Linked DNA regions of Cricetulus griseus. The protein of the gene in region 2 purifies or fractionates together with the protein of the main gene of each other region. This does not show direct contact. Links are inferred from orthologs where the notes say so. Each region holds a gene or a part of one and is shown on either strand. Other genes may lie near its edges.

Region 1 (3,518 bases), on a different chromosome or scaffold from region 2:
GAAATACTAAGTTCTATATGGTTAGAATAATGAGAAAACGTCTGTCACAATAACCATACTTACCTTCCTAGTCTGTGACCCTGTCCTGAGAAGGGCTGGAATACAGGCTTTGTAGACATACATACTTCATTTTTTTTATCTTCAACTTTAACATCCACCTCTTCTTTATCAAAAATTCCCTGTAGTTCTGAAGGTAATTCCCTTTGAAAGAAAAGAAAACGATAAAGTTCCTGTTTTCCCACAAATAGGCTTTGGGAGCCCATTCCCTATGGAGGGATACTATTGCAGGCCAGATACAGCAAGGAGGGCCTACACTCTCCCCCAAACAATATGACAGACTTTGAAGGTCCTTGGTAGAGGGCTTCACTATCCCTGGGGAGAAGTGGGGAGGCCTGTGGGGTGTGGGGTGTGGGTGGGGAACATGGGAGGAGGGGAGGACGAGGGAATGGGGAATGGATATGTAAATATGAGTAGTTAAAAAAAAAAAAAAAGAAGTTCCTATTTTCCCTTTTTCTGAGATACATATTCCATATGCCAAAAGAACTACATGATTTGTAGAAGTATAATGTATGGATTAAGGAGGTAGTTTAGCTGGCTGGGCACTTGGCTAGCATGTGCAGGTCTTTAGCAGCATATAAGCAAGCCATGGTGGTACACACTACAATCCCAGCACTTGGGACATGGAAGCAGGATGATCAGAAGTTCAAGGTTCTCCTTGACTACAAAGCAAGTTGGAGGTCAGCCTAGACTACAACAGACCCTTGTAAAAATATATAGGGCTGGTAAAGGTACTTGTTACCAAGCCTAATAAGAGTTTCATCTCTGGAACCCATATGGTAGAAGGAGAGAACAAACCCCTGCCAAGTGTCTTCTGACTTCCAATATGGACACTGTAGCACACAGGGGTGTCTTATATGTATAAATAAATAGATACATGTCCAGTTTTATAGCATTACCTAGAATAGTATTAAATTCATAATACTTGATTACACACTGCTACTTTTTTGTTGTTGTTTTGTTTTTCTTTCCAGACAGGGTTTCTCTGTGTAGCTTTGGAGCCTGTCCTGGAACTAGTAGACCAGGCTAGCCTCGAACTCAGAGATCTGCCTACCTCTGCCTCCCACGTGCTGGGATTAAAGGTGTGCGCCACCACTGCAACATGATGCTAATTTAAAAAGTTTTATTGTGTGTGTGCACGTATATGTACTTATTTGTATGGCATTAAGGAATAAGTGGCAAGACTTTGATGGATCAGAATTCAAATTCCTAAACTTCAAAATTATAGCTGTATCCTGGGCTTATTGGTGCATGCCCATAATTCCACTTGAGGCCAGTCTGGTCTACATAGTACACTCCAGGTTAGCCAATATTGTATTTTGAGACCCAGTACCAATAAAACAAAAAAATTAGTTATGGCTCTCTAAGGAAAATGTCAATTTAAAAAAAATAAAAAAGGCACTACAAGCCAGGCATGGTGGACCACATCTTTCATCCCAGCACTAGGGAGGCAGAGGCAAAAGGATCTCTGTGAGCTCAAGGCCAGCCTGATTTACAGTACCAGGATAGCAGGGACTGTCACACAGAGAAACTGTGTCTCAAAAAAAAGTAAAACAACAACAAAAGGGGTTTGGGGTGGGCATGGTCTTTAATCCCAGTTCTGAGAAAACAAGATGGCAGTGTACTGTTGAGTCTAAGGCTAGCCTGGAGGGAGAGTGAGAGGGGAGGGATAGGGGATGGGGAGAAAGATAAAGATCAATGATTCTTTCATAAGAAACTAGCCTGAAGTACCCTTCTACTATATATATATATATATCCTGCTTACCCCTTTTTGATGGAGTTCAGAAACTGCTGACTTGCACCATCAGAGTAACTTCTAAAGTCATCATTGACTGTGAATCCATTTTTCCACAATTTTATATTTATATCTACCTAAAAGGCAGTAAAGGCAGGCATGAATTGTAAGAAAGGTTGATCCTGAGCTCACTAAATAGCTTAGACTGGCCTTGAACTCCAGATCCTCCTACCTGAGTTCACAGGCTTTCACTAGCACACCCAGCTAATGAATGACTTTATAATAACATATTAGTCATTTAGAAAATAGTGGTTCCTGAAGCCTTGAAAATCTAAATGCTAATGTATTTCCTTATCTGATAGACATTATAGCTATTAAAATAACACTAACATCAAGAGGAAATTCTGTAAGTTTGAAAAGCTGTCAAATGCATGAAAGAGATTTCTTCAAATTCCTATTCTGGTTAAAAGTTGACTAAGTAAAATCTTTGCATTTGTAACAAATACAGTTTTAAGTTGTCTCCCTTGAAGTACCAGGCTCACTTAATTTTTCTGTGGAAATGCCTGCCAAAATAGCCAAGTCTAATGGGTGTGTGTATGCTGCATGTAGAGGCCAGAACTTGAAGTCCGTGTCTTCTTTAATTGTTATTTTATCCCATCCCAATAAAGGGCTAGGGAGTTGGCTGAGCAGTTAATAGCACTGGCTGCTCTTTCAGAAGACCCAGGTCCAATTCCCAACACTCTCATGGCAGCTCACAACTGTCTGTAACTCCAGTTCCAGGGGATCTGACACCTTCATACCAATATATATAAAGTTAAATAAATTATTAAAAAAAAAGACCACTAGGCAGTTAGGAGTACTCGTTGTTGGTTTGGTTCCTAGGACCTGCTCCACTAAACATCTGTAACTCTGTCTAGTTCCAGGAGAACTGGCTCTCTCTGTTGGCAGCCAGCACACATGTGGTAGATATACATATACATACCTTCAGACAAAACATTCAAACACATAAAATAAATAAATGTGCTCCGAGCCGGGTGTTGGTGGCACACACCTTTAATCCCAGCACTTGGGAGGCAGAGGCAGGCAGGCGGATCTCTGTGAGTTCGAGGCCAGCCTGGTCTCCAGAGCGAGTGCCAGGATAGGCTCCAATGCTACAGAGAAACCCTGTCTTGAAAAACCATAAATAAATAAATGAATATATAAATGTGTTCCATTTCCAGGTTTTGTTTACTTTTTAAACTATAATTCATCAATGTTTATAATTGGTACTATCATGACTGAAATATCTCTGACTGAACCTGGAGTTCACCAATTCAGCTAGATTGGCTAGCCACCCAGCACAGGGATGGTCTGTCTCTCTGCATCTCCAGCCCTGGGAATGAGTCTTTTGGTTTTTTATGTATGTGGCAGCTGGGAGTCCCAATCTAGCTCCTCACATTTAAAGTGCCTGCCACGTAAACCTTGCATCCTGAATATTCCAGCCTTGACTTAATTATGTGGCTGAGGACAACTTCAGACTTCCAGTTCTCCTGACTCTCCATCTCCTGAGTGTCGGGATTACAGATTCATATCAGCATGCCCAGTTTACAAAATGCTGGGTTGAATGCAGAGCTTTGTGTCTGCTATGTAAGCATTCTCTCAGTTGAGCTACCTCCTCAGCTCCATCACAGACATTCTTAACTAGAAGCATCATTTATTTGGTTTGTAAATTCAAGTAAGTAATATA
Region 2 (3,354 bases):
TCTTCCAGTGACCCTTCACCCTGCCTTCCCCGCACTGCATTCTCTTCCAGTGACCCTTCACCCTGCCTTCCCCGCACTGCATTCTCTTCCAGTGACCCTTCATCCTGCCCCCCTGCACTGCATCCTCATCCAGTGCCGAGGCCTGTTTTCACATGTAGCCTGTCTGTCCCATGGTAGGTTCTCAGACTACAGAGGTCACTTCTCCAGGAGTGGTGCACTGCTTCTTCCTACAACTGCTTGCTGTAGACCCTGCACCTAGAGTGTCTGCAGACATGACTTCTGACGTCTACATGGGCAGAACAGGAGCTGTAATAAGAGTCCTGAAGCTTGACAGTAGACTTGGCTCCTCTATTCAGGCTGTTGACATAGCAGCTTGCCCTGCCATTTAGTTTCTCTGTCTTCAAAGCCGTAAGTGCAGTAGATCACATCTGGCCTTAGTGATATGAGTGGCCAATTGTGCACACCCCTAACAGGTATAGTTAGTGGTGGCATATTGGTGCTAAGTCAGCCACGGTACTTACACCATAGAAAGTAGCACATTCAACTGATCATGGTTTTTCTGTCTTGTAGAACAAGCTGTTGGTTAAACATTTGCTAGCATAACATGGCCCATATCTAGGTGGCTATTTTGCTAAAGGTGCCCTTCCCAAGCTTCTGCCTCAGCACATAGACTAGAAAATGGGTTTGGACAGTTTAATCTGGTACTGTAGATTCTTACCCAAGGTAGCTTTGTCTCAAAAAATTGATCCCAATCTGAAGCCACATGCATCTGTTGGACAACATCAACCATTTCGGTCTCATCTTGATGGCACATTTGAGAAGGGAGGGCACTCTCCTACCAGGCTCAGACCCCAGCCCACTGTGGGGTTCAGTGTTCCTCATCTGGTGTTGGCAGTGTTGGTCAGCCATTGGTGGCCTTTGCATCCAGGAGTTAGCAGTGGAGACTCCTCAGAAATGAACCACCAAGGTGATCTAAGGGTCATGCTTGGAGTAGAGCAACCTCTGGCCAGTGGCATTACAGTTGGGGCAGTCTCAGTCTTGGCAGCAATTGGTGAGAGCAAGTATGTAGAAAGAGTAGCCAAGCCAGCTGCAGACCTGCCTATGGCCAGGAGGTATGCAGCCAGCATGCCTCATCTCTTGTTGTTAATGAACATAGTCTGTGCATGAGCAGGTAGAACTTTTCACAGTGCTGCTGAAAGGTGGCCAGGAAGTGCCAAGTGCTAATGGAAGGATCTATGAGGAATTGGGATAAGGAGGGCTATAGAGTAGTGGTTGTTAACCTGTGGCTCGAGATCCCTTTGGCAAGCCTGTCTCAAATTATTTACATTGTGATTTATAACAGAAAAATTTCAGTTATAGAGCAGCAACAAAAATAATTTCATGGCTGGGGGTCACCACAACATGAAGAACTGTACTAAAGGAGTGAAGCTTTAGGAAGTTGAGAACCAGCTCTTGTAGAGTGTATTAATGACCGCCGTCTCATATTTAGGGTTCCCGGCACGTAGGGGCAGGGCTGACCTCTAAAGACTTTTTTCTCATGTCTTCCTTCAGATGAATGACAATCTCCTGGAGAGCTGGAGTGACCTTGATGAGCTCAAGGGTGCCAGGAACCTGGAGACTGTGTACCTGGAGCGCAACCCCCTGCAGAAGGACCCACAGTACCGGCGGAAGGTCATGCTGGCTCTACCCTCCGTGCGGCAGATCGATGCCACATTCGTCAGGTTCTGAGTCCTCCTTGCTCCTCACCTGGTCCCTCTTCCCAGCCACGGTTTTTTAATCTACCTATTGCTCCTGAAGTCGTCACTATACCAACAGTCACAACCCAATGGCAATAATAAGGCACTGGTGGTAGCTGGCCTGAGACACCACACACCATTTGGAGATGCCAACACTATTAAATCTTGCCACGTGGTCTTCCTGGTGAATTGGTGACGGTTATTGTAGCCATGGAGAGAATGCAGGACATGTTACAGTCATTTGTTCTTCCTGTCTGTCTATGTCCTTAGCCTGGCCTGCCCCAGCAGGCCCTCAAATCAGTTTGCAGGGTTTAAGCAGTCATGACCGATAGCAACACATTTGATAGTCTTTCAGACTATCAGTTTTGAGAAGAAAAAAATTATATTTTAAAAACAATTGCATAAAGGGGCTCTGATCTCAGATGCTGTAACCCTCAGAGCCTTCCCATCATGAGTGGTGGCTGAGCACACTGGGCTGTAAGACCTGTTTCTAGGTGAGAGCTGAGACATGGAGACCTTCACTCCATACCCCTCAACTGTTGACCTCGGTGATTCTCAGAAGCGTACCTAACTAAAGCTCTGGCCACTCCCGTTCTCGACCATGATCCTCTGGCCTTATTTAGATGACATTTCTCTGAGCAAACCTCTAGGGCATGACTTGTGCTGCAAGAGCATTGTCATCCTTGGGAGCCTCAGATCTCCTCTTTCACACTGTAAGGACTGAATGTGGTCACCAAAGGCCCCTCTGCTTCCAGGACTCTTCGTTCTACACTAAGATGGGCCCCTAACTGCCATGTGCTGCAGTTACTGTTCATACCTAAGTCCAATGAATTTATTTTATCTCTTAATTGTGCTCACACTTTATCTGTTCAGGGGCCACATCTAGTGGGAGGCATCCCATTTCCAGCATCGCAGAAGGTTCTAGACAGCACTGCTCTAGACTTCTCTCAGTATCAGGGGATAGCCTGCCTTGAGCCGTGCAGCATGTGCCCACATGTCCACACTATCCAGTTAACTGCAGGAGTTTGTAATGTAAGAACGCTAACATGGGGTTTAACACCCATTTCCTGATTCTAATTCTCACCAAATAAACTGTATGATCTGAATCTGTGCGGCATCTCCCTGTCAAGAAGCAAGCTCTTAGCAAGGAAGGGTGGGTGGAGTAGCAGGCAGCCCAGAGAACACTGCCATAGCCCTAGGAGTGTGGGAAACATTTTGGACACAGAAGGACTGAAATGTAGGTGTCCCTACTGCAGTCACTCACAGGAGCCTCACACATCCAGTGATTCCATAGTGTATAAAGAAAGCTAATGGGGGGTGGGGTGGCAGTCACCAAAGCAGCACAACCATCTCAAGGATGCAGCTGCAGGAGAATCTTAGCTAAGTGGAGCAGACGGGAACATGTCTCCAAGGGAATTTAAATTCTAGAAAGCTATTCCTTAAGCAAGCAGTGGTGGCACACACCTTTAATCCCAGCAGTCCAGAGGCAGAGGCAGGTTGATCTCTGTGAGTTCAAGGCCAGCCTGGTGTACAGAGCTAGTTACAGGACAGCCAGGGCTACGCAGAGAAATCCTGTCTGAAAACTCAAAAAACAAACCCAAAAAACAATCAAATAGAA
Region 3 (3,518 bases), on a different chromosome or scaffold from region 2:
GGCTTAACTGAATATGAGTTGGCCAAAGAGACCAGAAGTAAAGGATTTTTTTTTTAAGCCATAAACATGCTGTGGAGAATTTCAGAACACCTTAGTAAATGTACAAACACTTCACAATATGCCCTTTAACATTAATTACTTTCTAAAATAGATGGGGTTGTCATCTTTTAGCAGTGTAGCGTTAAAGATTAATGCAGGATGTAGTAACTATTTACTTTGGGAGCAGGGAGGTTGGAGACATGGTTTCTCTGTGTGGCCTTGGTTATCCCAGTACTGGCCTTGAACCCACAGAGATCTGCTTACCTCTGCCTTCTAAGTGCTGGGGTTAAAGGCATGCATTACTATCCCTGACTTCGAAGTTTCACGGGGGGGGGGGGTGTCTTGTTTTGTTTTTTTTTTCAATAACCATTTTCATTGAGGTTTTTTTTTAAAAAATAATTCAGGCATTGTGGTTTAGATATTGTCATATTTGACACTGAAGACACTAAAAACTATTTATCATACGAGAGTTTCAGTGCTTAGCACAAGAAGGTCACAGATTGGATCTTGCAAATAATTTTTGTTTCACAAAACTTTTAGCATAATGGATTGTAATGGAACTGCAGACCAATTCAGGACCTTAGCATCCTGAAAATCTTGCTGTTTAGGTTCTTCCTGTCTCCCTGTCTCAAGTGACAATCAAGTCTTCTCTGTTGGTGCCAAGTGAAGACTCTCAGCCATTCTTCAGCCTGGGTTGCCCATCCTCTGCCTGTCCTGTCTTCCTGGTTTGGCCCTGGCAGTACAAGCTCAAAAGAGAGTCAATGTTGGGTCAGAGGCATAGAATCGTGAGAGTGATGCAAATATATCCCATCTGTCAATTCTGCATGCTTTGTATTACAAAGTAGAATATTATTTTAAAATATGTTAACATTCGTTTATGTTATGGAATATTTGTTTAAAGATGCTAAGATATGCTGCATTCTTTCATATTGTATTTATTTAACTCTGTGAAGCTGTGTTACTTTGTCTGCCTCAAACACCTGATGGGTCTAATAAAGAGTTGAACAGCCAATAACAAGGCAGGCAAGAGAAGGGATAGGCAGGGCTGGCAGGCAGAGTGAATAAACAGAAGAAGAACATAATAGTAATAATAATTTAGAATTTTTAAATAATTATATTTTATACTATTTATAATGTTTTCTTCTCCAAGAAAGGGACATATTTTAATGTCATTGAATATTCTTCTGTGGGATTTTTTCATAGCTATATACAATTCCACCATACAGAAACATAATTTAACAGTATAAAGATGAATGCAAAGCCATTCTGCTACTCAGGCACCTGAGGAGATACCACTTCCTGATACCATTTGAGTGACAACTCAATGGGAAGGTACTTCTCAAGGATGCACTCTCTGTGCCTCCTGATGAATCACTCAAGTGGAAGGTCCAGTCTCGAGCCTGGAGGTGCCTCTGAGGCCCCGGGGTACTCACACGATGCCTGCCATTCGGAATCCTCCTTCCAGCTCTTGTATATCTGCTTGGTTTTCTCATCCTCTGTTTGTTTCACGTCTTCGTCTTCTTTTTTCTTTATGGGTTCTTTAGTCTGTTTGAAAACAAAAATAGATATGGGAAGTGGTGAACAAATGTGACAGTTTCTTTAAGAGGGCATAAGGCACTCTGGGTCCATTTAACTGTCTCTGGCCCACTAGGGAGCTACTTGGTGTCAGCAATGCCTGAAGCAAGAGCTCTGGATACCTCTGTGTGGGACTCTAGACTCTGTTCCTGCAGGCTGTTTTCCTAGAAGTGAGAAAGAACGTCACATAGAGTTCCTGTGAGCATCCATGCTTTAAGAGTGCCTGGCACAATGCACAGCACATAAGATCTATCTAAGCAACCCTTCCCCAGACCGGCACTTAGCTATTCCAAATATATTTCTCTGATGTAAATATGCGGAGTCATGGGGCCAGCGTAGACACTGACCTGCGGTAGCTAACAGGCTCCCAAGAGCAATCTTAACTGGGTGGGGTTTAAATGTTCTCCAACAAATAGGAGAATGTGATATGTGATTTGGGGTGCTCAAAAAAGGAATGAGGTGCTTTTTTGCCCTTCAAACACACAAAAAGTATCACCTTTGAAAAAGTGAAATACACCACAGAGTGAGTTCAAGTTCAGCACAATTTTGTAAGATTGTGTCTCAAAATTAAGAGGGTCATGGACACAGGTTGTCCACAGACCAGCTTTGTGAAAGCTCTATCCTGGCTTGCCTACCATGTGCAAAGCTCTAAGCTGAATCCCCCGTGCCACAGGAGGAGGAGACAGAGGACCACAAAAGTGACACAGAGGACCACAAAAGTGACAATGATGACTTTCCAACTACAAAGATGCAACCAGTGCGTAAAGTACTTGCTGTATAAGCTTGAGAACCTGAGTCTGAATCCCTGGTGCCCACGTAGTAGCTGGGCCTTGGGGTATGTGCCTGTAACTTCAGTGATGGCAGGGTAGACACAGGTGGATACTAGGGCAAACAGCATGTTCTAGGTTAAGTGAGAGATCACGTCTCAAAACATATATGAAGTCATAGAGGAAGACATCTAGTGCCTTCCTGGGGCCTCTATATGCTCATATATTGGCAAGTGCATCCTTTCCCAGGTAGATACATCATATACCATCCCATCCCAACGTACATAAAGATTTCCTTGCCATAAAAGCATTGTACCATTTTTGAAATCAAATCTTGGTTTGGATCACTGTAGGAAGCTATCGACCACTGTTAAGGCAGTCATACTCTGAATCTGTGCTCAACTGTATTTGAACACACCGTCTACTTTGATTTTTTTCTTACACTGTTTTCCTGCCTAGAGTCAAGCTCTCATTGTTGGTGTCACAGTGTTTTATAAAATCCAAGGAACAGCTTTTGGTTCTTGAGATTACTAAAATTTGCCATCTATTACTGAAGCTGGTTATGAGCCTGAAGAACATAGAAGTACAGCTCAAGATGTTCAAACTTGGACAGAAGGAAAAAACACAAACCCTTAAAAGAGGAACTCTGTTCATTTTTGGTCATTTGCTACAACTCTTGCTGGGCAGATGTGAACAAACTAGTTATGAAAGAAACATTCTCCCCATGTCAAGACTGAGGCAACAATGAGGATTCTAGGGACACTGACAGGAACCCAGACAACTGAAAGGCAAATGAGTCACCAAGCCCACCCCACCAAGTCAACCACTCATCAAAGTTAGGTCCCTGGAATTGTTGGCCCAACTTGTAGGCAGATTCATTAAAAAGCCTCCTCCAACCTACCAATTATTTACTGCTTATCTAACTTTGGAGCAGGCAGCAGGGAGTGCTTGTCACTTCTTGTTACTGCTCCATCTTGCTTCCCTCCCTTTCTCCTGCCTCCTGGATGGAATGTCTTAGTAGAGGAATCAGATACACAGTAGTACATACATATGTATTTATTTAGTCTCTCTGTCTCTTTGTCCCTGTCTCTGTCTACTTGTGTGTTCCTATGTGAGGCTTCATCTGTGCAGGAGTGA

The links.
Region 1: the proteins of Ppp1r7 (region 2) and Ubxn2a purify together in Homo sapiens (affinity purification with mass spectrometry; 3 studies listed by BioGRID and IntAct, counting the BioPlex papers as one, with this or other methods). This does not show direct contact. The link is inferred for Cricetulus griseus from reciprocal best matches to the Homo sapiens genes PPP1R7 and UBXN2A.
Region 3: the proteins of Ppp1r7 (region 2) and Sh2d4a purify together in Homo sapiens (affinity purification with mass spectrometry; 3 studies listed by BioGRID and IntAct, counting the BioPlex papers as one, with this or other methods). This does not show direct contact. The link is inferred for Cricetulus griseus from reciprocal best matches to the Homo sapiens genes PPP1R7 and SH2D4A.

What each region holds. Positions count from the first base shown.
Region 1 is NC_048600.1:15,658,172-15,661,689, forward strand, and holds part of Ubxn2a (UBX domain-containing protein 2A), read right to left. Parts: intron 1,930-3,518; coding exon 1,823-1,929; intron 202-1,822; coding exon 64-201; intron 1-63. UniProt on the Homo sapiens protein: Acts to repress the ubiquitination and subsequent endoplasmic reticulum-associated degradation of CHRNA3 by the STUB1-VCP-UBXN2A complex in cortical neurons.
Region 2 is NC_048595.1:444,832,960-444,836,313, forward strand, and holds the end of Ppp1r7 (protein phosphatase 1 regulatory subunit 7), read left to right. Parts: intron 1-1,551; coding exon 1,552-1,728; 3' UTR 1,729-2,842; downstream 2,843-3,354. UniProt on the Homo sapiens protein: Regulatory subunit of protein phosphatase 1.
Region 3 is NW_023276806.1:245,081,208-245,084,725, reverse strand, and holds part of Sh2d4a (SH2 domain-containing protein 4A), read right to left. Parts: intron 1,585-3,518; coding exon 1,473-1,584; intron 1-1,472. UniProt on the Homo sapiens protein: Inhibits estrogen-induced cell proliferation by competing with PLCG for binding to ESR1, blocking the effect of estrogen on PLCG and repressing estrogen-induced proliferation. May play a role in T-cell development and function.